Linked DNA regions of Anolis sagrei. The protein of the gene in region 4 purifies or fractionates together with the protein of the main gene of each other region. This does not show direct contact. Links are inferred from orthologs where the notes say so. Each region holds a gene or a part of one and is shown on either strand. Other genes may lie near its edges.

Region 1 (6,828 bases), on a different chromosome or scaffold from region 4:
CTACTTCAATGACAAGGGATCTGGGCATCTGCTTTACCATTGTAAAGAAACTAAGTTGATTACCCTAGGTAACAAATTTTGAAAAATGTTCTGTTCCTGGTTTGAAAGTGTTGTTCCTGTTTGATTGTACGGTGCTTACTTTTAAAGGAGCTGTTATACAGAAACTTCATGTTTGTGGCTGCCACAAATTACGTTGAATTGGTTGAGACTCTATGAGATATTTACTGAAAAACTAGAGCAAAATGTGCTGCAAGATGCAGTTTAATAAACTTTTTCCATATTTTATGAAAGAACTAATCAGGAATGACATTTATAACCCAGGAACAAAAATTGTGTTACTTAGTATTATAAAGGGAAGGCTGGTCTGAAACCCATTACCAGGTCTTGATTTCTATTTCTTTCTATACTCAAACCCTAGAGACAGATCAATAGGAATGTCACATCTATTATAATAATTGCTCAAGAATCCTTTATTTGAAATGCTTGGGACCAGAGGTGTTGGGGAATATTTGCACATATATTGTGAGATATCTTGGGTCTAAACACAAAATCCTCTTATGTTTCACATGCACAATGTTTTTTTAAAAAAAACAAAACATTGGACATGAAGCATGGTTTGTTTATATCAAGCCACGTGAAAGCAGAAGAGTTGCTATCACACCGGCTCACGCAGACAATTGGGGAACATTTTGGGGGTGAAGAGCATCCTGATTTCCTCCATCTGTTTCCATGGCGCCAGGCTTTGCAAAAACAAGAACCCAACAGTTTCCTGCCCCAGGCTTCCAATCTAAGGAAGACATGGCACAAAGGAAAAAGGGAAAGGCAGTGTGGGAGGGAGACGGGATGCTCTCTCTCACACTGTCAAATGAATAGTTCAACAGCTCACTGCTAGGGAACCATGGGAACTGTAGTTTGGCAAGGCCTTGAGACTGCTGGTGGCTTCTCAAACTACAAATCCCAGGATTCTACACAGATTGGGTTTATCTGCTCCCACAAACCTATCCCAGGTTGCTTCGGTTTAGATTTTTAAAAAATTGTAACAGCAGATTCTGAGGGCTCTTCCACACAGGCATGTAACACAGAATATCAAGGCAGAAATTTCCACAATATCTGCTTTGAACTGAGTTATCTGAGTCCACACTCAGATAATGTGGGATTTTCTGCCTTGATATTCTGGGATATAGGGCTGTGCGGAAGGCCCCTCAGTTAGCGGGAACCTGAGCAACCAGAATCCTCGAGCAACTGTCAATCAAGATGGGGGGGGGGGATCTATCAAGCAACCAGAGGTGACAGTTATGTGACATCCTCCACCACCACCACCACAATAAAATAACCTGGGATAAAGAGCAACCATGGTTACAGATCCTGGGATACAGGGCAGTGTAGACAGGGCCTCATATAATCCAATTCTTTGAGAATGTGGATTATATGGCAGTGTAGAAAGGGGCCCCTTCAACACAGCTGAATAAAATCCCACATTATCTGTTTTGCACTGGAATATATAACAGTGTGGACTCAGATAACCCAGTTAAAAGCGGATATTGTGGAATTTTCTGCCTTGATATTCTGGGGGGCCTTCCACACAGCCATATAACCTGGGATCTGATCCCAAGTTTTCTGCTTTAAACTGGATTATGAGTCTGCACTGCCAGATAATCTGGGATAAACAGAAAACCTGAGATCAGATCCTGGGGTAAAAGCCCTATCTGGCAGTGTGGGCTCAGATAATCCAGTTCAAAGCATAGCCTTAGGGATTATCTGCCTTGATATTCTGGGTTATACGGCTGCGTGGAAGGACCCAGTGTGATCTGGAAGTGTGGACTCGGAGAACCCATGGTCTTTCCACGCAGCCATATAACCCAGAATATCAAGGCAGAAAACGCCACAAAATCTGTGTGGAATTGGGTTATCTGAGGGCCCTTCCATACTGCCCTAAATCCCAGAATATCCAGGCAGGAAAGCCCACATTATCTGAGTGTGGACTCAGATAAACCAATTCAAAGTAGATATTGTAGGATTTTCTGCCTTGATATTCTGGGATATAGGGCTGTGCGGAAGGGCCCTCAGTCCACACTGCCATATATTCCAGGTCAAAGCAGATAATGTACGATTTTAAAAAGTGGCATGGAAGGGGCCCTGGAAGCGTTGCGAGCTCTCCCTTTTCTAAGTTCTTGTGGGTTTTTTCGGGCTATAGGGCCATGTTCTAGAGGCATTTCTCCTGACGTTTCGCCTGCATCTATGGCAAGCATCTTCAGAGGTAGTGAGGTCCTCACTACCTCTGAGGATGCTTGCCATAGATGCAGGCGAAACGTCAGGAGAAATGCCTCTAGAACATGGCCCTATAGCCCGAAAAAACCCACAAGAACCTAGTGATTCCAGCCATGAAAGCCTTCGACAATACATCTCCCTTTTCTCTTCGCACCATCGCTCTGACACCTACACTGTCGGATTAACGCGGTTCGAAACCAGCGGAACTGCCAAGGCGACAGAATCCCTCGGGCTGTTCGTTTCACCAAGTCCGGCGCCTTCCCTGGCAAAGGCTCGACAAACGACAACTCCCGGGAGCCCACAGCATTGAGCCGGGGCAAAGAGAGCGGCACGAGACCGCGTTAGGTCTGGAGTGTGGATGCCCCCTGAGAAGCCGCTCCAGACTCACCCTCGTCGGAGTCCCGTGCGCGTCCGCTCCGCTCGCCATCCTCTTCGTCGAGCGGGCTGTCTAGGTCCTCCTCCTCATAGCTCTCGGCGGCGGGGGCGGGGCCTGTCCCGGGGGGAAGCGCCGTGGTCGTAGAAACGGCTGCGGTGGGAGGAGGGGGCGGCCCCGGCGAGGGCAGGGCGGGGGAAACCAAGGCCGCGACGCTCATGGCCGCAGCGCGGAGAAAGCGGCGGAGAAAGCGGCGCAGAGCGCGCGCCCCCTCCCCTCCCCCTTCGAGACCCGCTCTTTTTCTCCTTCGCCTCACAGCGAGCGAAGGAGCAGCTCGGCTCCCTCGCGCAGGCGCACAAGCCGCTTCCGGATCTTTCCCCCGCCTCCTCGTCTTGCGCATGCGCTCCGTGAAGCCTTCGCGCGTCTTTACCCGCGCTCGTTGTCATCACTAGTTTTGGACCGCAGCGCTTCCCTTAGGCGGAAAGCACAGGTGCCGTCCATCTCTTAGTGCCTTGAACATAGACTCGACTCAGTCATGGACCCACACGCTTCGTGAAGTGTTTCCGCGTTCAGTTAGGGCGTACACACGGCCCTATATCTCAGAATATTAAGACAGGAAATCCCACATTATCTGAGTGTGGACTAAGATAACCCCGTTCAAAGCAGATATTGTGAGATTTTCTGCCTTGATATTCTGGAATATAGGGCTGTGTGGAAGTGACCCCCCCCCCCCCGATAAAAGATAGTTTATAATCAGGGAATTCATAGTTTTGCCAAGGACAGCAAGCTGGAATTGAGGTCGAACTCAGAGGCCCCCGCCTTCAAACTGATTTGAATGCAGCAGGGAGTTCCACAGTTCCTGACAACATGGACTTTCAAGATGAACCAAAGGACTGGGGCTCCAGTAACAGCTTCAATTGAGAAACCTTTTTCCTCCCTCCTAGTCCCCCCCCCCCCCGCTTCATTGTAACAATCCCCCCAATAAAAAGTATTATTTTCTCTAATGTTTCTCTCTCTGCAATGATACATTGTGTCCCTTTACTGACTCTAACACCAATTAATATGAACCCTCCTCTTCCCGAGCCGCGGAACTCCGCTGGCTCACCTGCGACACTCTTACAATGTACTGGGGAGCCCGAAACTGCGATCCTTCAAACCGCGGATACGGAAACCAGCTTGGCACTGGTGTCTGCAGGTTGACCGATCGACTCCAAATCAATGTCATCTTTTTCCTGGGTCAATTCTAAGACTAACTGCTATCTTACTTTTTGCTGAATGGACCCCTGCGCCCGGAGATCCACCTCTTTGCATGGAACCAGGCCCGTAGCCAGGATTTCGTTTCGGGGGGGGGGGGGGGGGTAAAAAATTTTCAGGGGGGTTTCGGGGGGGGGGGGGCTGAGTTTCGAGGGGGGGGCTGAGTCTGAGTGAAAGAGGGTCTAGACTAGCAAACCTTTTGTATCATTATCTGAATACCCCCATGCATATGGGATATATTGAGTATGGTGATCAGATCATGATATGAATAAACATAACAGTTTAAATAATGCACCAGTAAGGCCTTTTCGCGAACCACCATGAGAATTTGTCCCCCCCCCCCCCCCCCCCCCCCGCTACATGCCTGCATGGAAGGTTTATTTCCATGGCTCCACACAACCTGTTCTTCTTGTGCACGTTGACTTGGAAGCCTCTCAAACCCGGGGAGTCTCCTGTGGTCACTCCTTGGGACCCCCGACCACTGGCAGGCCAATCTCGCCACTTATGAATTGGACTTATGAATGAACCTCCTGTTTTTATTAATGGACTTTAGCTACTCGGTACCTTTATTAACTTGTATGAACTCTCATGAACTTTCTGAAACCTTTGAGAACTTTTATTAACTTCTTGCCAACTTTCATGAACTTTATGGACTTTGGGGTGACTGAGATGAATTCCCCCTTGACCCTGCATGCCTCCCCCTTTCTCATATGATCTCTGTATATGCCTCGTGCTGGAGGGGACGTGGTTTTAAAAAGGGAATTTTCATATATTTCCCCAATGCCCATATGTCATGATTTACTGCCATATTGGCCTATTTCTGCAGTAGGCCTTTGTTCACAGAAAATGCTGATTGTTTGAGAAATCAGTGCTCCAAAGAAGAAGTTACTATTCAAGGGTAACAACATATCCGGACAAAACCAGCTAGCTGTTTGCTAGATAGAACCCCCAAGTTTCCCAGTCGCTCTGAAGCCATGTTTGCAACAGACTAACAGATAAGATACAGTCATGGTCAGAGAACAATGGACTATAGTTATGTTATACTTGTGCCATTGTTAGGATCCCACGTGTGCTATAATGTCAATCAAAATCACAAACAACTAATGAACTGCATAGTTAACTTAGACCAATGAAATGATTTGTCTTTGGGAACCAATGAGATGATTGATTTCTATGTACCAATCAAACTGTTTTAATGAAAGTCATAAATAATCAATGCAACCAACTTTAGGTTGGACAAATCCCTTTATTGCATTTCTATATGCATGTTTGTCACTATTGCTTCAGCTGCACAATAAATAGCATTTTGCAGTTTTAAAGATTCAACTTTCGTGGTGTCCTTCCTCGCCCTCCTTGGGAAGGGGCAATCTGCTCTTGGATTTTGGATTTGTGGATTATCTTGATCGTTTTTGCCCCTACAGTGCCACCATCCATTATATGTGTGTATGTATAAAAGTTATGAAGCAAAGTGACCTTTTCATGAACCATGCCAGAAACTCATGGCTCTAGGGACTCCACAACTTCCTGAGCCAGTAATCCCCTAACAAAAGGACTTGACCAAAACAATTTGCATGGACCAATGGCCCCTCTCCAGGACTTCGGAGGGTCTCATTAACCAGACCATCCAGGAAGATGTGACCCATGGACACGTTAAAACATTCAACACAGAAGGCACCTATGTGTCACTGCCCATTGTGAAAACTCTCTCATCATCAAGTAAATATCACTGGATTATAAGACAATGGAACTATCCTTTGGGGCCAGACAAAAGATGATATTTCAAGATTCAGGACAATAGTCTGGGCTGAGGCTTGAGAGCTAAGCTATCGCTTTGGCCCTCTTATCAATACAGGTGCGGAAGAGGCCATTCATAATCTCATCACTTTACTCATTCATTCATTGTTTCCCTTCTGGCCCGCTTTCCTCTCCACTCATTGGCTGAGTGGCCGAAGCGGGGCTAGTGCTCTGATTGGACAGAACGCAGCCTCCCCGGCTGCTCCTCCCAGTCAGCTGATACTCCAACCACCAGGAGGTGGGCACGGGAGATTTGAATTTGACAGTTCTATAAATATTTTATTTCCTTGCCCAGTGAGCATGTCAGCTCCTCAGGCAGATAACTGCAGTCGTCATCCGTTCCAACTGGAATGAAATAAAAACTTCGGTGGCTTTCCTTCAACTTGGTGAGACTTTATTTGGGAAATTAAGGGAAAATCTTTCTTTGTGCTTGCTGTCTTGCCAGATGTTTTGGATCCCCCTTTTGGGTCTAGCTGGTCTCTGCCTTGGCAGGGCCTTCCAAATTCGTGTTCAACATCAGAATGATATAATAAGAGTTAAGTTTTGGCCAATCTGCAGAAGGACTAACAACCACAACAAGGACCATTCCCATGTTAAATTGTGTGTACATTTAATCAAGATTTATGCCCTATATTTTACATATTTATAACAAAAGGTAATTGCTATATTTACTGGTAACCCTGTCACAAAAGGCATTTGACCTTTGGCCTACCTAAGCAGACCCATGAATTAACAACTGTGCTAATTGTCCCCTATACCAGTCAATGACCTACAGACAAAGGATTCCAAGGCCTTTCTGTCTGAGGCTAGCAAAAGGGAATGCCAAGTAAATAATATTTTATAACCATGTCTTCCCTTATGAACTTCAGATGACAAAGGCCAATCTTTCCCCAATCCTGCATGCCCCCTTTTCCCTTTATGAACATTATCTGAGTGTGGAGTCAGATAATTCAGTTCAAAGCAGATATTGTGGGCTTTTCTGCCTTGATATTCCGGGATATAGGGCTGTATGGAAGAGCCCCCAGTTTAAAGTAGAAAACATGGGATCAGATTCTGGGATATAGGGCCTGTCTGGAAGGGTTATATGTTGAATTGGTTGAGACTAAATGATGAGATATTCATTGAAAAACTAGAGCAAA
Region 2 (7,260 bases), about 33 Mb from region 4:
CACCCTGGAGGGGGACTCAAGGCAGCTTACACTTAGGCAACTATTTGATGCCTTCAAACAATGTAGGTAAATTAAACATTTAAATCTTTATAAATAAAAATGTAATGTTCGTTTGTGGGATTAACATAACTCAGAAACCACTGGACGGATAGACACTAAATTTGGACAGAATACACCTAACAACCCAATGAGTGACCATCACTCAAAAAATTGATTTTGCCCTCACCCTCCCTAATTTGCAACGTTATTTTGAGGCGAGTGCTCTGACCTGGATCAACGACTGGGTGACCCTACAAAACAGAAAAATGTTAACCCTAGAGGGGTGGGACCTTAGAAGAGGATGGCATGCCTACATATGACAGAAAAATGAGCTGGTTTCACTATTGGCAAACAAAAGAATGCTTCAAAGAAGATCGAAAAGTAGGGTTCAATACCAAGAAATCAAGTTGGGATAAGATAATGAAAAAGGATCAAAAATTAATTAAAACTCTTTACCAAAGCCTGTTAGAATGGGACTTGGAAAAAGAGAGAATAAAAGAAAATATGACAAAATGGGCCATTGACATTGGCCATCCAATATTGTTAAAAGATTGGGAGAACATCTGGAAGAAGTTAAGGTTCACGAAAGCTACAAATATAATTGAAGGATGGTACAAGATATATTTTCGCTGGTACCTGACACCTCTACAAATATCAAAATTCAATAAAAATTAATAGATGCTGGAGATGCGAAAAAGAGCTAGGCACCCACTTCCATTTGTGGTGGGGGTGCAAAACAATCAAAAATTACTGGTCAGCAATACACAAATGTACCCAAAAAATTATTAGGGTGAAATTTGAGTTGAAACCGGAATTTTATCTTTTGAACATAACAAACTTGAATTTAGGTGAAAACGAAAAGATGTTTTTTTATATATCAGCTGCGGCAAGAACGACAATTGCCCAAAAATGGAAAGAGAAAGACCCTCTACAATTGGTGATTGGATAAACAAAATCCTAGACTATATGAGCATGGACAACTTATCACAATACATTGACAATAAAAATAAGAATAAACAGACGAATTGGGAGCCTCTGAGAAGGTTTATGCAGGAAGATATGCAAATCCAACTCTACGGATGAAGGATATACCAACTAATATAGAGAAAAGTAACTAAGTTATAATGCGGAAAAGTAAATGGACACAATTGTTTACGTCCCTGTGGATCGAACAGGAAGCCATCACCTCCCCTCTCCTCCTTTTTTTCTCTTCTTGCTCTTTCCTTTCTTTCTAAGGCGAGCACACTGTTGCTCCACTTTCACTGTAATCTTGGATGCCTTTTTCTCTCTCTTGAAAATGTTGAAAAATAAATATATATTAAAAAATGATTTTGTCATTTGGGAGTTGTAATTGCTGGGATTTATAGTTCACCTACAATCAAAGAGCATTCTGAACTTCACCAATGATGGACTTGAACCAAATTTGGCACACAGAACTCCCGTGAATAACAGAAAATACTGGAAGGGTTTGGTGGGCACTGACTTTGAGTTTTGGAGTTATAGTTTACCTACACCCAGAGAGCACTATGGACTCAAACAATCAAGGATTTAGACCAAACTTGGAATGAATACTCAATATGCCCACATGTGAACACTGATGGAGTTTGGAGAAAACAGACCTTGACATTTGGGAGTTGTAGTTGCTGAGATTTATAGTTTACCCACAATCAAAGAGCATTCTGAACCCGACCAACAATAGAACTGGACCAAACTTTCCACACATAACCCCCATGACCAACAGAAAATACTGTGTTTCCTGATGTTATCTGATGACCCTTCTGACGCCCCCTCATGACCCCCACAGGGGTCCCAACCCCCAGGTTGAGAAATGCTGGGTGAAGGCCATCCAGCCCAACTCCCTTCACCCGGGCAAAAAAACATAACCAAAGCCCTCCTGACAAAGAGCCATATATAGATAGTTATATATGATTCACACACACATACATATGAATATGACAGATATAGTTTCATAGATTTTAAAGGGACTCCTAAAGGACAATTCTATGTTACATGTTCCAGAGTAGGCAAACCAGACAATCTCTACATCAATACTGAAAAAGAAACAAGAAATACTGTTTACCCAGAAGCATAAAGAAAATACATATATTAGAAACCATCACTTCCTTATTACTTTATTTTCCAGATCACCAAGCTGGCCCACAGCAACGCATGGCAGGGGACGGCTAGTAGAATTATAAAATACAATGGTGTCAAAACTTCATTTATTCTACAGTGCCGATGCTTCCTGGGATACCTGCAATGCAAAATCCGGGGGGGGGGGGGATGACAATAGCCTCCATTCCAGGTGGATACCTTTGCATCCATCCCAGTGCTATCTTTTAGCAGCCAAGTATTCACAAACAGAAAAGAGGATGCAAGAGATAAGAGGGTGGAGGTGGGAGGAAAAATGAGATGAAAGAGTCTGGGTTAGCAACTTCCGTCTGGACTCTGGAGAGACGCCTCTACAGACACAATAGGTCTGAGGGGGGGGGGGGGGAGAGAGAGAGGCACAGAAAAAGGGGAGGGGGCGTCGAGGAGGGAGGGAGGGGGCGGGGCTGTAGGCGGCGCGTGCGCCGGGAAGGAAAAAAAAGGGGGGGGGGCAAGAAGGCGCGCGAGGACAGGAGGAAGAGGGGGCGCGCGCAGGGGATGGGGATGGGGCGCGCGCACGGGGAGTACACAGAACCAACGGACGCGCCGGAGCACAAAAGGGGGGGGGGGTTTCACCCTCAGGCGCTCTCTCACAGACTTAAAGGCATACACACCCCTCAAACGCGAAAGAAACCCCACTTTTCTTACCGTCATAGTAGTAGCAGACTTTCTTCTTGCCGCCTCCCTGACTGTATGCCATGAAGCCGCCTCTTGAGGGAATCCCCAGCTACCTCCGGATCAAGCGAGGCCGGCAGGGCACAGCAGAGATGCCTGGCGCTGAGGCGGCGACGCAGCTGCGTGAGAAAAAGCCGGCCCCGCCTCCTCCAGCCGCGGGCTCGTGCCACTCGAGGAAGGAACCACCCGCAGGGGGGGAGGAGCGGGGAAACGCACTCTCAGGCCCCGCCTTTTCGAAGGCATAGAATTGCGCTCCGGTACCAAACGAAGGCAACATGGTAACTTGCAGAGAGTTCCTGAGGCAGAGCCCTTTACACTTGAAAGAAAGAGCGAAAATTTATCAACTTCTTTTCTTCATCCCCCTCAATTTCGACGACACAATGGTACGGTCTGCGTAACGAAGCGGTCCGTTCTTGCTGTGCTCGACCTCGCTCAATCAGCATGTGCGGAGTGCGCAAGCGCAGAGGGCTTCTTTTCCCTGGCTGTGAGAGACGCTTTTCGGATGAGACCCCAGAGAATGTTGGCTCCGGCCTCGCGCGCCTTTTCCTCTTTCTTCCTTTTTGAAGGGTTTTGCAAAAGGCGGGCAGTTTTGTTGGACGAAATCCCTACAAAATAGTTCCCCTCCAAGCCCATTCTCCCTCTTAAGCTCTCACATAATGATTTTGAAAGAAAATGCAGGAAAATCTAAATAACATATTGAAGTGGTCCCTTTATTAGGCCAAATAAAAGGCCCCCAACACATTGCACACGTTTTCGAAGGCCACTGGGTTCATCATCGGGTATGGATGTTAAAAAGATAGTGTATTGTGTGCCTTTATCCTATTAAATAAAGGCACACAATCAGGCCTGTAGCGAGGGGGTGGTTTTAGGGGTTCAACCCCCCCCCCCCGAAATGTTTCAGATTTTTTTAAAAAACCTGGTTTACTCATGAATATTAACTGGTTAACCAAATCCCCATGCTAAGTCTGAGATGCAAAAAATTAAGAGTCCCTCCAGAACTGTAAGCACTATCTCAAGCAAATATTGACAATTTATTCACACTGTCATTACTTGCAGCAATAGCCAATGTAGTGAAGCAACCAAGTTGGGGGGGGGGGGGTGTTGAATGCTCTCATTAAGGAGGCCAGACTTGGTGGAGGTGGCTGACAGGGGCTAGCGAGGAGGAGCTGAGGAGCCTTTTAATCAAGGTGAAAGAAGAAAGCGCAAAAGCCGGGTTGCAGCTAAACGTCAAAAAAAAAAAACAAGATTATGGCAACAAGAATGATTGACAACTGGAAAATAGAGGGAGAAACCGTGGAGGCCATGACAGACTTTGTATTTCTAGGTGCAAAGATTACTGCAGATGCAGACTGTGGCCAGGAAATCAGAAGACGCTTACTTCTTGGGAGGAGAGCAATGTCCAATCTCGATAAAATAGTAAAGAGTAGAGACATCACACTGGCAACAAAGATCCGCCTAGTCAAAGCCATGGTATTCCCTGTAGTAACCTACGGATGTGAGAGCTGGACCTTAGGGAAGGCTGAGCGAAGGAAGATCGATGCTTTTGAGCTGTGGTGTTGGAGGAAAGTTCTGAGAGTGCCTTGGACTGCGAGAAGATCCAACCAGTCCATCCTCCAGGAAATAAAGCCCGACTGCTCACTGGAGGGAAAGATACTAGAGACAAAGTTGAAGTACTTTGGCCACATCATGAGGAGACAGGAAAGTCTAGAGAAGACAATTATGCTGGGGAAAGTGGAAGACAAAAGGAAGAGGGGCCGACCAAGGGCAAGATGGATGGATGGCATCCTTGAAGTGACTGGACTGACCTTGAGGGAGCTGGGGGTGGTAACGGCCGACAGGGAGCTCTGGCGTGGGCTGGTCCATGAGGTCACGAAGAGTCGGAGACGACTGAACGAATGAACAACAATTGAAGGCTGCTCTGCCCCCTGCTGTGCTCTTCGTTTCAGTGTGAGCTAGGAGGCAGGTTTCAACCCCCCCCCCCCCCGAAATTTTCAACCCCCCCCCAAATTTTCAACCCCCCCCCCCAAAATTGTCAACCCTCCCCGAATTTGTTTTCTGGCTACGGCCCTGCACACAATACACTATCTTTTTAAGGGGTCGGCTTTGACGGGTCGACTGAGCAACGACCGCTCACAAACTAATACCCATGCCAACATAAAGGCAGATCAAATAGCACACCAACTCTTGAAGAATGGGAAACCCAACCTTGCCACCAAAGTAGGAAAGAAACCAATAGCCAGACAACAAGAGATTGAGAACAACAACCTCCATGAACCCTTTACATCTACAGAATTGGACATGGCTCTCAATAAATGTAAAAATGGCAAAGCAGCTGGCCTGGATGATGTACGGATGGAACAAATCAAGAACTTTGATTCAAAAGCAAGACACTGGCTGCTGGAGCTGATGAACAACTGCACTGCATCCTGTCAGATCCCCAAAATCTGGAGGAAAGCAAGAGTCATTGCCATCTTGAAACCAGGCAAAGACCGTAATGATCCAAAAAGCTATAGACCAATCTCCCTGTTACGCCATCTTTACAAAGTTCTGGAGAGACTTATTTTGCATAGAATTATGGAAAACATAGACCCCTGTCTGATCCCACAGCAATCTGGCTTCAGGAAAGGCAAAAGGTGCATATCGCAAGTGCTGAACCTGACTCAGCACATAGAAGATGGCTTTGAAAGGCAGCAGATCACAGGAGCTGTCTTCATCGACTTGTCAGCAGCCTATGATACTGTGAACCACTGCCTCCTCCTGAGAAAAATTATAATATCACAAAGGACTACCATCTCACCCGCCTCATAGGAAACCTGCTACAAAACAGGAGTTTCTTTGTTGAGTTCCAGGGCCAGAGAGGCAGATGGCGGAAACAGAAGAACGGCCTGCCTCAGGGGAGCGTGCTTGCTCCATCCATGTTCAACATTTACACAAATGATCAGCCACTGCCAGAAGGGACAGAGAGTTTCATCTATGCTGATGATCGTGCCATTACCACTCAAGCAGGGAGCTTTGAGATGGTAGAACAGAAGCTCTTCGAAGCTCTAGGTGCTCTTACTGCCTATTACAGGGAAAACCAGCTGATCCCTAATCCATCTAAAACACAGACATGTGCTTTTCACCTTAAGAACAGACAAGCATCCCGAGCTCTGAGGATTACCTGGGAAGGAATCCCACTGGAGCATTGCAGCGCACCCAAATACCTTGGAATCACTCTGGACCTACAAGATGCACTGCCTGAACATCAAGCAAAAAGTGGGTGCTAGAAACAATATCATATGAAAGCTGACTGGCACAACCTGGGGATCACAACCAGACACAGTGAAGACATCTGCCCTTGCGTTATGCTACTCTGCTGCTGAGTACGCATGCCCAGTGTGGAACACATCTCACCACACTAAAACAGTGGATGTGGCTCTTAATGAGACATGGCGCATTATCACAGGGTGTCTGCGCCCTACACCACTGGAGAAATTACACTGCCTAGCAGGTATTGCACCACCTGATATCTGCCGGGAAGTAGCAGCCAATAGTGAAAGGACCAAGGCAGAGACATCTCCAGCTCATCCCTTGTTTGGGTATCAGCCAGCACATCAATGACTCAAATCAAGAAATAGTTTTCTAAGATCTACAGAGACACTCGCTGGAACACTTCAGCAAGCGAGAGTCCAAAAGTGGCAGGCTCAAATCCAGAACCTCAACCAATGGCTGATACCAAATGAGAGACTCCCCCCTGGGCACACAGAGGACTGGGCGACTTGGAAGGCACTGAACAGACTGCGCTCTAGCACTACGAGATGCAGAGCCAACCTTCAGAAATGGGGCTACAAAGTGGAATCCACAACATGCGAGTGTGGAGAAGAGCAAACCACTGACCACCTGCTGCAATGCAACCTGAGCCCTACCACATGCACAATGGAGGATCTCCTTGCGGCAACACCAGAAGCACTCCAGGTGGTCAGATTTTGCTGTCTGTGCCCCTGTTTTGCTGTCTGTGCCCCTGTTCAGAAGATTTCACCTCATTTTCTGTCCCTGTGATAATTGGATTTTGAAAAATTTAGCTTGTGGATACAAGAGTTGATGAGAACTTCCACGGAGACACCTTTTTGCCATGTTACCTCTTCCAGAAATTATTTTCCCTTTCCAGGAGTAGATTTCTTTCACTTCTGGTTGTCTCACCCCAGTTTGTAACTATGAGTTGTTTGTAAGTTGAATGTTTGTAACTTGGGGATTGCCAGTTTAACTTCATCATATGGCAGTTTAGATAGAGTCTAAGGGCCCTTCTACAGTGCCTTCAATTCCAGGAGGAACTGGGAGACATCTTATTTTAACCTAGTTCCTCCTGGGATTTTGTTCCCACCTCCAACCCAAACCCTGAGCTTTCCCTTGGGGGAGTAA
Region 3 (7,033 bases), on a different chromosome or scaffold from region 4:
TACACATACACTTAAATGTAGAATATATTATATACACAACGCACAACATATTAATTTGATAATCGGCTTGATTATATATACATATATACACACGCACACATACACTTAAATGTAGAATACATTATATATACAACACAACGTATTAAGTTGACAATCGGCTTGAATACACACACGCGCACACATATACACACACATACATACACATATACACATACACTTACATGTAGAATACATTATATATACAACTCAACCTATTAAGTTGACAATCAGCTTGAATATATATATGTATATACACACACACACACACACACATAAACACACACATATATACACACATACATACACATATACACATACACTTAAATGTAGAATACATGATATATACAACACAACCTATTAAGTTGACAATCAGCTTGACTATATATATGTATATATATATATACATACATACACATAAACACACACATATATACACACACACATACATACACATATACACATACACTTAAATGTAGAATACATTATATACAGAATTCATAACCTATTTAGTTGACCAGTGACTTGAAGACACATATACTTCCAAACCACAAGTGCGGACTACATATACATACATACATACATACATACATACATCCAAATGAAGTCAGTTTGAAGTCGTATACTTCCAAAACTGTGTGTCTACATGTATATTACACACACAGAGCCTATTAAGCCAAACTAAATATATGATGTTATATGACAGTAACAGTATAGATCAAGGAAGTGAGGACTAGCCAATCCTTCTACACTGTGAGATTAATGCAGTTTGACCCCACTTTAACCGCTATGGCTCAAGGCTATGGAATCCTGGCAGATGTATGTATATCTATATATGAGGGATGTATGTATGTATGCATGTGTGGGTATACATATGTGTGTGTGTGTCTATATATATATATAGGAGATGTGTATGTGTATAGGTGTCTTGGAGATAGATGTGTGTATATGGGAAGTCTATATATATGTATATATGTGTGTATATATATATGGGAGATGTGTATGTATGTATGGGAAATGTGTGTGTATATATGTGTGTATGCATATATGTTTATATATAGAGAGAGGAGATGTGTATGTATATGTATATATAGTAGATGCATGTGTGTGTGTGTATGTATATGTATGTATGTATGTATGTGTGTGTGTGTGTGTGTATATATATATATATATATATATATATATATGGGAGAGGTATGTGTATATATATAAGAGATAGCCGCCCCGAGTCCCCTCTGGGGAGATGGTGGCAGAGTATAAATTTTATTATTTTATATTTATATATGTGTGTTTGTGTATGAATACATGAGAGAGGTACGTATATATATGTGTGTATATGAATATGGGAGATGTATGTTTGTATATTTGTGCATGTGCAGCTATATACATATATATAGATATGAGAGATATATGCATTTATTTATGTGCGTTGTGTGTGTGTAGATGTAATAAATAAATAAACATATATAGGAAGATGCCAGTATGCAGTGTATACATGCAGTGTATGTGTGTGTGTGTGTGTGTATGTATACATGGGAGAGGTATGTATATATATGTGTGTGTATGAATATGGGAGATGTATGTTTGTATATTTGTGCATGTGCAGCTATATACATATATATAGATATGAGAGACATATGCATTTATTTATGTGCGTTGTGTGTGTGTATATGTAATAAATAAATAAACATATATAGGAAGATGCCAGTATGCAGTGTATACATGCAGTGTATATGTGTGTGTGTGTATGTATACATGGGAGAGGTATGTATATATATGTGTATATTAATATGGGAGATGTATGTTTGTATATTTGTGCATGTGCAGCTATATACATATATATAGATATGATATATGCATTTATTTATGTGCGTTGTGTGTGTGTATATGTAATAAATAAATAAACATATATAGGAATATGCAGTGTATACATACGTGTTTGCTATATATATATGTATGTATGTATGTATATGTATGAAACAACTGACCCACAGGTTTCCGATGCAACTCCAAAGCCGAATTATTTCTCAACCCAACCTTTGGACAGGGAAGGCGAAACTCCGAGCACCTCATAGTCTTGAGCCTGGGCAGTCTGAGTGGGGTCGAAACTGTGTTAAAATTGCAGTGTAGACGCATCTAGTAAATTCATGAACATGTAACACTACGCCAGAGGCGATGATGCATGGTTCATATAAGTAATAGCTGACAGGGAAGACCTTTTATGCCGTGCATGAATGTATTATCTTAGAGATCCTGAGGCAGGGAGTTCCGCAGGTCAACAGGAACTGTTTTTTCCCCATAGCATCATATAGATCTTAGAGATCCTGAGGCAGGGAGCTCCATAGGTCAACAGGAACTGTTTTTTCCCCATAGCATCATATAGATCTTAGAGATCCTGAGGCAGGGAGCTCCATAGGTCAACAGGAACTGGTTTTTCCCATAGCATCATATAGATCTTAGAGATCCCGAGGCAGGGAGTTCCACAGGTCAACAGGGACTGTTTTTCCCATAGCATCATATAGATCAGGCATGAGCCCACCCTCCAGGTGTTTTGGACTCCAACTCCCACCATTCCTAACAGCCTACCGGCTGTTAGGAATGGTGGGAGTTGCAGTCCAAAACACCTGGAGGGAGGGCCCAAGTTGGCCCATGCCTGATCTATATGATGCTATGGGAAAAACAGTTCCTGTTGACCTGTGGAACTCCCTGCCTCGGGATCTCTATAGATCAGGCCCATGCCTGATCTATATGATGCTATGGCCCAATGCAATGGGATCCCCAGACTGGAGAGCCACAAACAACAGGGATCGAGTGGATCCTTCCCCATCTCCCTCCCCCAAACAGTCCCCCCAAAAATCTCCCCCCTGGAGATCAAGGAAAACAAGCCAGCCGCCCAATCAGGAAGCAACGTGAGCATCCTCAATGGGGAAGCAGCTGTTGCCTACCTTGCCAAGCCCAGCCAGGATTCCTGAATGGGGAAGGAACGCCCCTCGAAGGGGATTGGCTGGGGGGAGGGGAGTGCGTCACAGCCGTGGGCGGGGCGGGGCGGGGGGAAGCCACGCCCCCTTCGTCTAGTGGGTTTTTGGGAAGCTAGAGAGAACTAGATAGCAAGATGGATAGATAGAAAGATAGATGGATGGATAGATAGATAAAGAAATCAAGATAGATAGAAAGGTAGATAAATAGATAGGATAGATAGAAAGATAGATGGACTGATAGATGGATGGATGGATAGATAGATAGGTTGGATAGATGGACAGACAGATGGACAGATAGAAAGATAGCTAGATGGATGGATGGATGGATAGGTAGGTAGAAATCAAGATAGAAAGATGGACAGATAGATAGATGGATAGCAAGATAGAAAGAAAGCTAGATAGGTAGGTAGGTAGATAGAAGGATCCCGCCTGCCTCACAGGCACGTCTGGCGGGGACGAGAGAGAGGGCCTTCTCGGTGTTGGCCCCCCAGCTGTGGAACTCCCTCCCTGCTGACATCAGACAGGCGCCCTCCCTCATGGCCTTTCATAAGGGCCTGAAGACGTGGCTCTTCGAGCAGGCTTTCAACTGAGTGCTATGTTACTGGAAATGACAACCGGAATGAATTTACGACTACGAGATTGATTATGATTCCATAATATGACGCAGCGGATTTTTAGTGTAATTTAAATGTTGTGTATTAGTGATGTTAGTTTGTTGTCCTGATTGCTTTGTAAAGTGTCTTCTTTGTATTGTACACCGCCACGAGTCGCCCTAGGGCTGAGAGCGGCGGTTAATAAATGCAAGAAATAAATAAATAATAAATAAAATAAATAGATAGATAGGATAGATAGATAGAAAGATAGAAAGCTACATAGAAAGCTAGATGGATGGAAAGATAGATAGAAAGGAAGAAAGATAGATAGATAGGAAGATAGATAGAAATCAAGATAGATATAGATAGATGGAGCCCCCGGTGGCGCAGTGGGTTAAAGCACTGAGCTGCTGAGCTTGTTGATCGAAAGGTTGTAGGTTCGATTCCGGGGAGCGGCGTGAGCTTCCGCTGTCAGCTCTAGCTTCTGCCAACCTAGCAGTTCGAAAACATGCAAATGTGAGTAGATCAATAGGTACCGCTCTGGCGGGAAGGTAACTTTGCTCCATGCAGTCATGCCGGCCACATGACCTTGGAGGTGTCTACGGACAATGCTGGCTCTTTGGCTTAGAAATGGAGATGAGCACCACACCCCAGAGTCAGACATGACTGGACTTAATGTCAGGGGACTACCTTTACCTTTACCTTATAGATAGATAGATAGATAGATAGATAGGTAGATAGATAGATAGACAGTAAGAAAGAAAGACAGACAGACAGAAAGATAAAGAAATCTAGATAGGTAGATAGATAGGATAGATAAATAAATAGATGGACTGATAGATAGAAAAATGGATGGATTGATAGATAGGTTAGGTAGATGGACAGAGAGATAGATGGATAGATAGAAAGATAGAAAGCTAGATGGATGGATGGATGGATAGGTAGATAGATAGATAGATAGATAGTCAGGTAGAAAGATGGATAGATAGAGAGAGAGAGAGAAAGATGGATGGACAGATAGTAAGATGGATAGATAGATGAATAGTAAGATAGAAAGCTAGATAGATAGGTACACAAATAGATGGATGGATGGATAGATGAATGGATAGATAGAAAGGAAGAAAGGTAGAAATCAAGATAGATAGATAGATAGATAGATGGATAGATAGATAGAAGGCTAGATAAATAGAAAGAAATCAAGATAGAAAGATAGATAGAAAGGTAGATAAATAGATAAGATGGATACAAAGATAGATGGATAAATAGAAAGAAAGAAAGCTAGACAGATAGAAAATAACTAGATAGATAAATAGAAAGAAATCAAGGATAGATAGCTAGATAGAAAGATAATAGAAAGATGGATAGATATATAGATGAATAGATAGAAAGATAAATAGAAAGATAGAAAGAGCGCTAGATAGGTAGATAGATGGATAGATAGAAAGATAAATAGAAAGATGGATAGATAGGATTGATAGAAAGATGGATAGAAAGCTAGATAGATAGATAAATAGAAAGATAGACAGAAAGGCTAGATAGATGGATTAATAGAAAGAAATCAAGGATAGATAGCTAGATAGAAAGATAAATAGATAGAAAGGTAGATAGAACTGCTAGGTTGGCAGAATCTGGGGCTAACAGCAGGAGCTCACCCCACTCCCCAGATTCAAACCTGCAACCTTTCGGACAGCAAGTTCAGCAGCTCAGCACCACAGGAGGCTCCATATACTGACAGTGTATTTTATATATTGTGGTATAATAATATAATAAAATATAATAATATATGACAACTGTATATCTTACATGTAATATTGCTAATAATATTTCAGTATAGTGGTATAGTACAATATAGCAATATATAATACTAATATTGTGCTATGCTAAAATATTGTATGTATAATATTGATATTATAATGTAATACAATATATATAATAATATATATAATGGCTTAAACCTCTGTGGCAACAGGACTGAAGACCGACAGGTCGCAGGTTCGAATCCGGGAAGAGTGCGGATGAGCTCCCTCTGTCAGCTCCAGCTCCACATGTGGGGACATGAGAGAAGCCTCCCACAAGGATGGTAAAAAATCAAAACATCCGGGCAACGTCCTTGCAGATGGCCAATTCTCATACCAGAAGTGACTTGCATTTTCTCAAGTCAGTCCTGACACGTGTGTGTGTATATGTGTATATATATATATGTGTGTGTGTGTATTGGTATAATATAATTATATATATAATATTATATTATATATATATAATATATATATTATATATATTAGTATATAGTAATATATACTAATATTGTAGTATGCTAATATATTGTATATACATATATTGGGATTATAATGTAATACAATATACTAATACAATATATATAATATAGTAAAACAAATATAGTAAATATAATTACTATTGATAATATATGCAATATTGTTTTATTATTGTATATTTGAGGTTCTAATGTTTTTGATTGTGAGCCGCTTTGAGTATCTGTATGGAGAGCTAAATTGGGATATAGATAAATAAATGTACACCTAGTGGGAATTTGTAAATTAATTATTATTATTATTTTATTTAATAATAATCCCTTTTCTAAACTGTTTGGAACTCTTTGGCGCTCCCAGTGGACACAGTGAAAACTGCACCCTTGATCAAAGCAGATAAAATGTGCCTCTATGCCGCCCTCTTGAGGCCACATTGGAAATCGCACTGCTTTATTTATTATAATTATATATATTATTATTTTATAATATTTATATTTATAATATAAAAGGCACTGCCACAATAAAGAGAAGGGGAAAAAAGAAGTGAAAGAAGAGAGGAGGAAATAAAAAAAGAAACAAGGAACAAGAAGCTTTGATTGGATAGAAAAGGTACATTCGACACATCCGGAAATGGTGAGTTGTCTGTATACTTTATTTCCGTAAATACAAAACAAAAAAACAAAACCCCGAAACAAAAACGGATGTCGCCATACAACAGCGAACTGAGAACATTTACAGTTATCTCCAATTCGGATTTGATCAAGTTAATGTTAAATATTTTGTTTATTAAAAAAAAACAAGGAAAAAAGAGAATAGATTGTAGTAAATAAAAATGAAGAATATGCACATTCAATAGAGCTTATTTTCCAGTAAAAAGTTACTGAGGTTGGTTCGGATGCTGCTCTCTTCTCCAGGGAATAGAAAAGGAATGAGGAAAAGCCAACAGAAGGAAGGAAAGTGGGGCAAAAATAATGTTGTGTTGGGATACCTAGAACCCATTGTACTGGGACACCTGGAATCCATGGCAAACACATGGCATTGGGATATCGAGAACCTCCCTGCAAAGAATAAGAGGCTTCTTTACAGCCTCTCCCATTCCATCATCCTTGGGTTACCTAGAACCCATGGAATTGGGATACCTAAGACTCACAAAATTGGG
Region 4 (7,701 bases):
GTAACTTCTGAGTCCATGAATATAATCAACACAGGTTCAAAAAATAAGGAGAAGCAACCCAGACTGATAACACGCAATGGAAGGGCTGTACAGAAGAGACAAAGTCTTAAGATGATTTGGGCTTATCAAATGAGAAAATCATTGAGACTTTGTCTTTTCTCTTCATCTCTTTTAAATAAGAAGCACAGTATGAACATTGTTTCCATCTCGTTTGTTTCAAAACACTTGGCCACCAGTAAAGGTTTCTCCTTGACAATAACACTAGTCATGTCTCACTCTGGGGTGTGGTGCTCATCTCCATTTCCAAGCCAAAGAGCCAGCACTGTCTATAGACATCTTGTAGGTCATGTGGCCAGCATGACAGCATGGAGTGCTGTTACCGTTCTGCTGAAGCAGTACCTATTGATCTACTCAAAACTACTAGGTTGGCAGAAGCTGGGCTAACAGTGGAAGCTTACCCCACTCCCCAGATTCAAACTGCCGAACTTTCGGTCAGCAAGTTCAGCAGCTCAGTGATTTAACCCACTGCATCACTGGGGGCTAGCTAAAACGTACATGCTATATAAACATTCTCTGCATCCGATAGTTAAAAAGCGGCTTTGATTTTTAAAAAAACCAAAAAAACCAGTGGTTTTCTATCTAATGAAGGTGCTTCCAAATATTGATCTCAACACTAAATGATACAAAAGGGCTCTATCCTTTCATGTAAACCAGGCATGGCCAAACTTGGGCCCTCCAGGTGTTTTGGACCAACTCCTACCATTTCTAAAAGCCTCAGGCCCCCTCCCCTCCCTTTCCCCCTCAGCCACTTAAGCAGAAAGGAAAGAAAGGCCCGAGGCTGTTAGGAATGGTGGGAGTTGAAGTTCAAAACACCTGGAGGGACCAAGTTTGCCCATGCCTGCTATATTCTGAGCAATGTGACTAATTTGATGAGAGGGGAAAAAACTGGGGAAGTGGAAGATATTAGGAAGAGATTTATAATATCTTTAGAGTTGGGATACTCTGAGGTAGTCAATATTATGCTGTCAAATAGCTTAAGCGCATGAGGGAGAAAGGGCCTGAGGTTCTTAGGAATGGTGGGAGTTGAAGTCCAAAACACTGGAAGGGCCCAAGTTTGCCCATGCCTGATCTATGCACAAAACACAACTGTTTCAACCAGACCTTTCTGAGGGACAGCCAATGCTGTCTCCTCCTCCTCCTCTCCCTCCCACCAAACTATACACCAGGCAGCCATGTCCTCCTTCCCTTTGGAAAAGGAGGCAAACTCCGGCTCGCTGGCTTGCTTTCCATTCTGCAGCCGAAGAGGAGGCTTTAAAAAAAAAAGCCAAGCCCTGCCTCACACACACACACACGACGACATGTTCAAGAGAGGAAAACAACCGGCAGCAAGCAGCCTGGCTCTGGAAAACACAGCACTGAAAAAAAGGCAGAGCTGGAGTAGTAGACATAACCGCCCTCCCATCCTCTCCCCGCACAACAGGGACAGACAGGCAAGGCAAGGGGTTTTTTACCTTCATGATGAAGAAGAACTGCAGGAGTCAAACCCGAAAAGAGGTCGAGCGGCTGAGGACCTGGAATGTAAAACAAAGCACTGAGGCACCGCCGCACCTCCCCCTTTCGGGGGGGGGGGATATGTAGTATTCTTGGGGCGCTTCTCCCACTTCCACACACACATACACACACACACAAAGCCCGCTCCTCCCTCCCTCCCTCGCCCCCCCCCCCCCCGGCTTGGCCTTCTTCCTCCCTTTCTCTTTCTCTCTCTTTCACACACGGCGGCTTCGCTTTCCCCCTCTCGCTGCCGCCTTCCTTTGACGCCATTTCTGTCAGAGGAGAAACTTGCCACAACAACAACCAACGGCCTCACAACAAGCGGCTCACCGGCCACCGCTCCCCGCCTTCGCCTCTTCGGAGGGAGGGGAGGCCTCGCCATTGTATCGGGGGAGAGAGAGAGAGAGAGAGAAGGAAGGAAGGCAAGAGGGAGGGAAAGGAAAGGAAGGGGAAGGAAAGGAAAGGAAGGAAGGAGAAGGAAAGAAGGAGAAGAAAGGAAGGAAAGAAAGATAGAAGGAAGCAGAAGGAATGAAGGAGAAGAAGGAATGGAGGAAAAGGAAAGGAGGAGAAGGAAAGAAGGAGAAGGAAAGAAGGAAGGAAAGAAGGAGAAGGAAGGAAAGAAGAAGGAGGGAGAAGGGGAGAAGGGAAGGAAGGGGAAGGAAGAAGGGAAGGAAGGGGAAGGGAGGAAGAAATGAAGGAGAAGGAAAGAATGAGAAGGAAGGAAGGTGGGGGCGGCTCGGGAAGCGGCTCGCCTCCTTCTCCTCCTCCCCGTCGTCGTCCGCGCCGCTTCCCAAACCGCCCCCACCTCCCTCCCTCCCTTCCTCTCCTTTGCTCCCCTTCTTCCTTTCCCTTTTTCTCTCTCTCTCTTTCTGCCTCCTCAAACGCTGACTCCGCGGCAGGAGTTTGAGCAACAGCCGCAGCTCGGTCGAGGGAGGGAGGGAGAGGGCTCGAGGGCCTCCTTGGCCTCCACCTCCAGGCTCCGGTATGTATGGGGAAGGGAGGAAAGGAGATGGGGGGGGGGGCTTTGAATCGGCGGGACTCGACGAGGAAAACAACACACCGGAGAAGCGCCCCTCTCTCTCTTTCTTTCTTTCTTCCTCGCTCTCTCTCTCTCCTCAAAGGGCTTCCTTCCTTCCTTCCACTCAGGGAAGGTCTCGCTCAGGGCAACGTTACCTTTGTTCCGCGGCGCGCGCTCTCTCCCTCTCTCTCTGTCTCGCGGGTCCCCCCAAACCTTCGAGGCGGGGGGAGGGGGGGCGCGAGGAGGATGGAGCCTCCTCCCAACGCTGGACCCGATCCCTGGGCAGTCGAGGAGGAGAATAGTAATCCCACGCTCGCGGAGAAATCTTTGGCGGGCGGGCGAGGGGGGGCAGCGGTCCCTCCCGTCCCAGCCCCGGTGGCGGCGGCGACAGCGACAGCAGCGGCGGCGGCTCCCCTCCGAGCTGCTCACTCCCCTCCCCCAAGACCCAGGAGTGACTGACGGCGCAAAGCCCGCCCTCTCCCCGCCTTACCGGCACGCCATTGGTTGCCGAGGCGCAGAGCCCGCCCATTCCCTCCACGCCATTAGCTTCTCGAGCTGAAACACTGATGTAATTCTCACCGCCGTTCTATGGAAACAGAGACTCGGCCCCCGCGGTGCCTTCTGGGTAGTGAGGTCCTCCGCTGTCACCTTTTGCCGCAGACTCCGGCGGGGATTGTGCACCCGGCTGCACTACAACTCCCGAAATGCACCGGGAGCGGAGCAAGCAAATAGAGGGGGAGAGGGCCGGAGAGGGCTTACGGCAAGGGGAGGAGTGGGAGGAGCCCGCGCCTGCGCCAAGGCGCTCCGGTGGCGCATTTTCCCCCCATCGAGCGAAGGTGGCGACTGAGGCGGAAGGGACCCGGGGGTGGGGCCTGGCCTTCTCCGCTCCGGAGACCACCAAGCGGGACCGAGCGGCGCCTGAGGAGGGGAGAAGGGCTCGCGCCCGTCGGCGGAGGAGGCCAGGGCGCGCGAGCCGGAGCCTTCCTCGGGAGACCCCCCCCCCACCTCACCTCCGCTGCTCCCCGCCCTGCTCCAAGCCCCGCCCACCATCGCAGGCGACTATTAAAGGGGCCGCGGGCGGAGAGAGACGGCAGGAGGCGCAGGCAAGCGGGAGGTTGGCTGGTTTTCCGGAGGCTTCCAAGATACGGTGTGTCATGCGGCTGGCTTGTTGAAGACCTCTTTTTCATCGCTGAAAATTAGATTCATTCTAAACGTGGAGTGGCGCCTGTATTATATAGGGATGTAAGTCATTCCATGTTATGTGAAGGCAGGGGATGTTCTTTTATGACAATCTGGAAGCCTTGAGAGTAACTTCGTGAGTTCAGTCTCCTCACTTGTTGAGGAGGAAGAGGAATATACAGGAAACAATATGTTACTATCTGTCCCCTGCCACGCGTTGCTGTGGCCCAGTCTGGTGATCTGGGAAATAAAGTAATGAGAAAGTGTTGGTTTCTAATATATGGAATTTCTTTATGCTTGTTGGGTAAACAGTATTTCTTGCTGTTTCTTTGTCAGTGTTGATGTGGATAGTGTTTGATTTGCCTACTCTGGAACATGCAACGTATCATTGCCCTTTCAAATCTATAATACTATATCTCTCTGTGTGTGAATCATATCTATCTATCTATCTATATCTATGGCTGGATGGCTCTTTGTCAGGAGGGCTTTGATTACATTTCCTTGCCCCGGTGAAGGGAGTTGGACTGGATGGCCTTAATGATTTTCTGTTGGTCATGGGGGTTCTGTGTGGGAAATTTGCCCCAATTCTGTCGTTCGTGGGCTTCAGAATGTTCTTTAATTGTAGGTGAACTATAAATCTAAGTAACTACAACTCCCTAATTTCAAGGTCTATTTCCCCCAAACTCCATCTGTGTTCATATTTGGGCATTTTGGGTATCAGTGCCAAGTTTGGTCCAGATTGCTTGAGTCCACAGTGCTCTCTGGATATAGGTGAACTACAACTCCCAAACTCAAGGTCAATGCCCACCAAACCCTTCTAGTGTTTTCTGTTGGTCATGGGAGTCCTGTGTTCCACATTTGGTTCAGTTCCATCATTGGTGGAGTTTAGAATGCTTTTTGATTGTAAGCAAACTATAAATTCCAACAACTACAACTCCCAAATGACAAAATCATATTTTTGAGTGATGATCATTCCTTGGGTGAGTACGTGTCTTGTGGCCAAATTTGGCAACAATTCATCCAGTGGTTTTTGAGTTAATCCCACAAACGAACATTACATTTTTATTTATATAGATTGTTATTATAGAAACATCAAATGTGCTGTGATGTCATTTTTTTTATATACAACATTAAAATACAAATCTTAAACTTACCACTATTGCAGGTAAATGTTTGTATTTGCTTATATTGACAGGATCTGTCTAGTTGTTCAAAAGTCAGGCTCCAGTTAAACTGACATTACAGCACATTTGATGTTTCTATAATAACAATAACATAGTATTTCCTGTATACTCTGTTATGTAGATATCTGTGTTCAAAGTATGAGGCAAAGGAACATGGCATTTGTGTGAAAAGGTTTCCCATCAAATAACAGGAGTGGAGAATAAGTCAAGATGAGCCTATGAAGTAAACCTTGGTTAACTGTGAGTTTTCTGGGCTGTCTGGCCCTGTTCCAGAAGCATTCTCTCCTGATGTTTCACCCATATTTATAGCAGACACATCCTAAGAGGTTGAGGGGTCTGTTGGAAACTAGGCAGGTGGGGTTTATATATCTGTGGAAAAACAACTTGTTGGTTTGAGGCAAGTGTGAATAGCCACCTTGACTAGCAGTTAATGGCTATGTAGCTTCAAAGCCTGGCTGATTGCTGCCTGGTGGATCCTTTTTTGGGAGTGTTAGCTCGCCCTGATTGATTCTTATCTGGATTTCACCTGCTTTTTAAATGTTGTTCTTTATTTACTGTTTTGAATTTAGACTTTATAAATATTGGTAGCCAGATGTTCATTTTCATGGTTTCCTCCTTTCTGTTGAAATAATAATAAATTTTGATTCTTGTGCTGCTGTGGGTTTTTCGAATTGTATGGCCATGTTCCAGAAGCATTCTCTCCTGACGTTTCGCCCGCATCTGTGGCAGGCAAACTCAGAGGTTGTGAGATCTGTTGGAAACTAGGCAAGTGAGGTTTATATATCTGTGGAATGTCCACAGAGGGAAAAAGAATTCTTGTCTGTGGGAGGCAAGTGTGAATGTTGCAGTTGGCCACCTTGATTAGCATTGAATATAAACCCCACTTGTCTAGTTTTCAACAAACCTCATAACCTCTGAGGATGGCTGCCATAGTTGTGGCGAAACATCGTGAGATAATGCTTCTGGATCATTGCCATACATCCCAGAAAGCTCACAGCAACACAGTCATTCCGACCATAAAAGCCTTCAACAACAAACCGTGGGTAGATCATAGAGATAGTAATCAAATATCCATATCAATCCATCACAGGTTATTTTGTTGTCAGAATACACCTCAACTATCTTATATGTTTTGTAGCAAAAGGAGGTTCTTTTGTGCCCAGGAGAACTCTGCAACAAGTCGAATAGTACATTGTATATTCTTTTATACAAAACAGTGGGAGGAAAATGTAGTTCTTGTTACTGATAACTTCTAGCAGTTTAGTGGATCTTTTTGTGGAACAGCGTGAGGTGTAATGTCACTGCCGGTTTTTTTGAATTTTTCACATTCTTGATTTTTCTTTACTTGCATCCAAATGTCATGCATTCATATACATTTTACAGATCTTCTGTTTCCCTTTGTGGCTATTACAGTGAATGTAATTAAGTATTTGCTGGAAAAACAGTTAGAGAAACAAGATCATGAGACTGCCCTTAAGTGGTTGAAGTGTCAATTGGCAATAAGCTATTGATTGCAATCTCACAAAAAGTGTTATTTTATTTTTGGACAAACCAGTGCAGAATTGGCTTGTGTATGGATTTAAAAGTTTATTAACCCAATACATTAAGATGAAAAGGCTAACTTCTGAAACACCATATAACAGGCATGGGCAATCCATCCGGTAGGCTGTTAGGAATGGTGGGAGTTGAAATCCAAAACACTGGAGAGCCCAAGTTTGTCCATGCCTGCCATATAAGAAGTTAGGTGTAAGTTTTGTTCTTTGAGGTTGGCATTTTGCAAGTTTAGTTTTTCCTAGATTCACACAAATCCTGTTGTGGGTGTGTTGTCGAAGGCTTTCATGGCCGGAATCACTGGGTTGCTGTGAGTTTTCTGGACTGTATGGCCAAGATCCAGAAGCATTCTCTCCTGACATTTTGCCCACATCTATGACAGGCATCCTCAGAGGTTGTGAGGTCTGTTGGAAACTAGGCAAGTGAGGCGTGTGCGTGTGTGTGTGTGTGTGTGTGAAATGTGTCCAGGGTGTGAGAAAGAATTCTTGTCTGCTTGTGGCAAGTGTGAATGTTGCAATTCTCCACCTTGATTAGCATTTAATAGCTTCAAAGCTTGGCTGCTTCCTGTCCGGGGGAATCCTTTGGTGGGAGGTGTTAGCTGGCCCTAATTATTTCTTGTCTGTAATTCCCCAGTTTTTTTAGTGATGCTCTTTATTTAGTGTCCTGATTTTGGTGTTTTTTAATAGCCAGATTTTGTTTATTTTCATGGTTTCCTCCTTTCTGTTGAAATTGTTCACATGCTTATGGATTTCAGTGGCTTTTCTGTGTAGTCTGACATGATGGCTGTTAAGAGTAGTCCAGCATTTCTATATTCTGAAATAATACGTTGTGTCCAAGTTGGTTCATCAAGTGCTCTGCTATGGTTGACATTCCACAGATATATATACCATACTTGCGTAGTTTCCAACAAAACTCACAACTCATACCCTGAATATTTCACACACACACACACACACACACATATATACATACCTCACTTGCCTAGTTTCCAATAGACCTCGCAACCTCTGAGGATGCCTGCCATAGATGTGGGTGAAATGTCAGGAGAGAATGCTTCTGGAGCATGACCATACAACCCAGAAAACTCACAACAACCCTCTGTTGTGAGTGTTTGGGGAAATCCAGATTATTTAGCTCCAGTGTAAAAGATGGAAGAGACTTTCAGATAAACACAGAAGTATCACAGCCAGCATCTTACATCGGGTTGTCTTAATGTTG

The links.
Region 1: the proteins of ARID4B (region 4) and SUDS3 purify together in Homo sapiens (affinity purification with western blotting; 3 studies listed by BioGRID, with this or other methods). This does not show direct contact. The link is inferred for Anolis sagrei from reciprocal best matches to the Homo sapiens genes ARID4B and SUDS3.
Region 2: the proteins of ARID4B (region 4) and HDAC2 purify together in Homo sapiens (affinity purification with mass spectrometry; 4 studies listed by BioGRID and IntAct, with this or other methods). This does not show direct contact. The link is inferred for Anolis sagrei from reciprocal best matches to the Homo sapiens genes ARID4B and HDAC2.
Region 3: the proteins of ARID4B (region 4) and SIN3A purify together in Homo sapiens (affinity purification with mass spectrometry; 5 studies listed by BioGRID, with this or other methods). This does not show direct contact. The link is inferred for Anolis sagrei from reciprocal best matches to the Homo sapiens genes ARID4B and SIN3A.

The regions. Positions count from the first base shown.
Region 1 is NC_090034.1:45,536,976-45,543,803, reverse strand, and holds the start of SUDS3 (sin3 histone deacetylase corepressor complex component SDS3), read right to left. Parts: upstream 3,018-6,828; 5' UTR 2,862-3,017; coding exon 2,657-2,861; intron 1-2,656.
Region 2 is NC_090021.1:91,450,412-91,457,671, reverse strand, and holds the start of HDAC2 (histone deacetylase 2), read right to left. Parts: upstream 3,003-7,260; 5' UTR 2,888-3,002; coding exon 2,836-2,887; intron 1-2,835. UniProt on the Homo sapiens protein: Histone deacetylase that catalyzes the deacetylation of lysine residues on the N-terminal part of the core histones (H2A, H2B, H3 and H4).
Region 3 is NC_090029.1:8,581,266-8,588,298, forward strand, and holds the start of SIN3A (paired amphipathic helix protein Sin3a), read right to left. Parts: upstream 3,027-7,033; 5' UTR 2,982-3,026; intron 1-2,981. UniProt on the Homo sapiens protein: Acts as a transcriptional repressor. Corepressor for REST. Interacts with MXI1 to repress MYC responsive genes and antagonize MYC oncogenic activities. Also interacts with MXD1-MAX heterodimers to repress transcription by tethering SIN3A to DNA.
Region 4 is NC_090021.1:58,925,450-58,933,150, reverse strand, and holds the start of ARID4B (AT-rich interactive domain-containing protein 4B), read right to left. Parts: upstream 3,023-7,701; 5' UTR 2,725-3,022; intron 2,534-2,724; exon of another isoform or gene 2,426-2,533; intron 1,572-2,425; 5' UTR 1,518-1,571; coding exon 1,512-1,517; intron 1-1,511. UniProt on the Homo sapiens protein: Acts as a transcriptional repressor. May function in the assembly and/or enzymatic activity of the Sin3A corepressor complex or in mediating interactions between the complex and other regulatory complexes.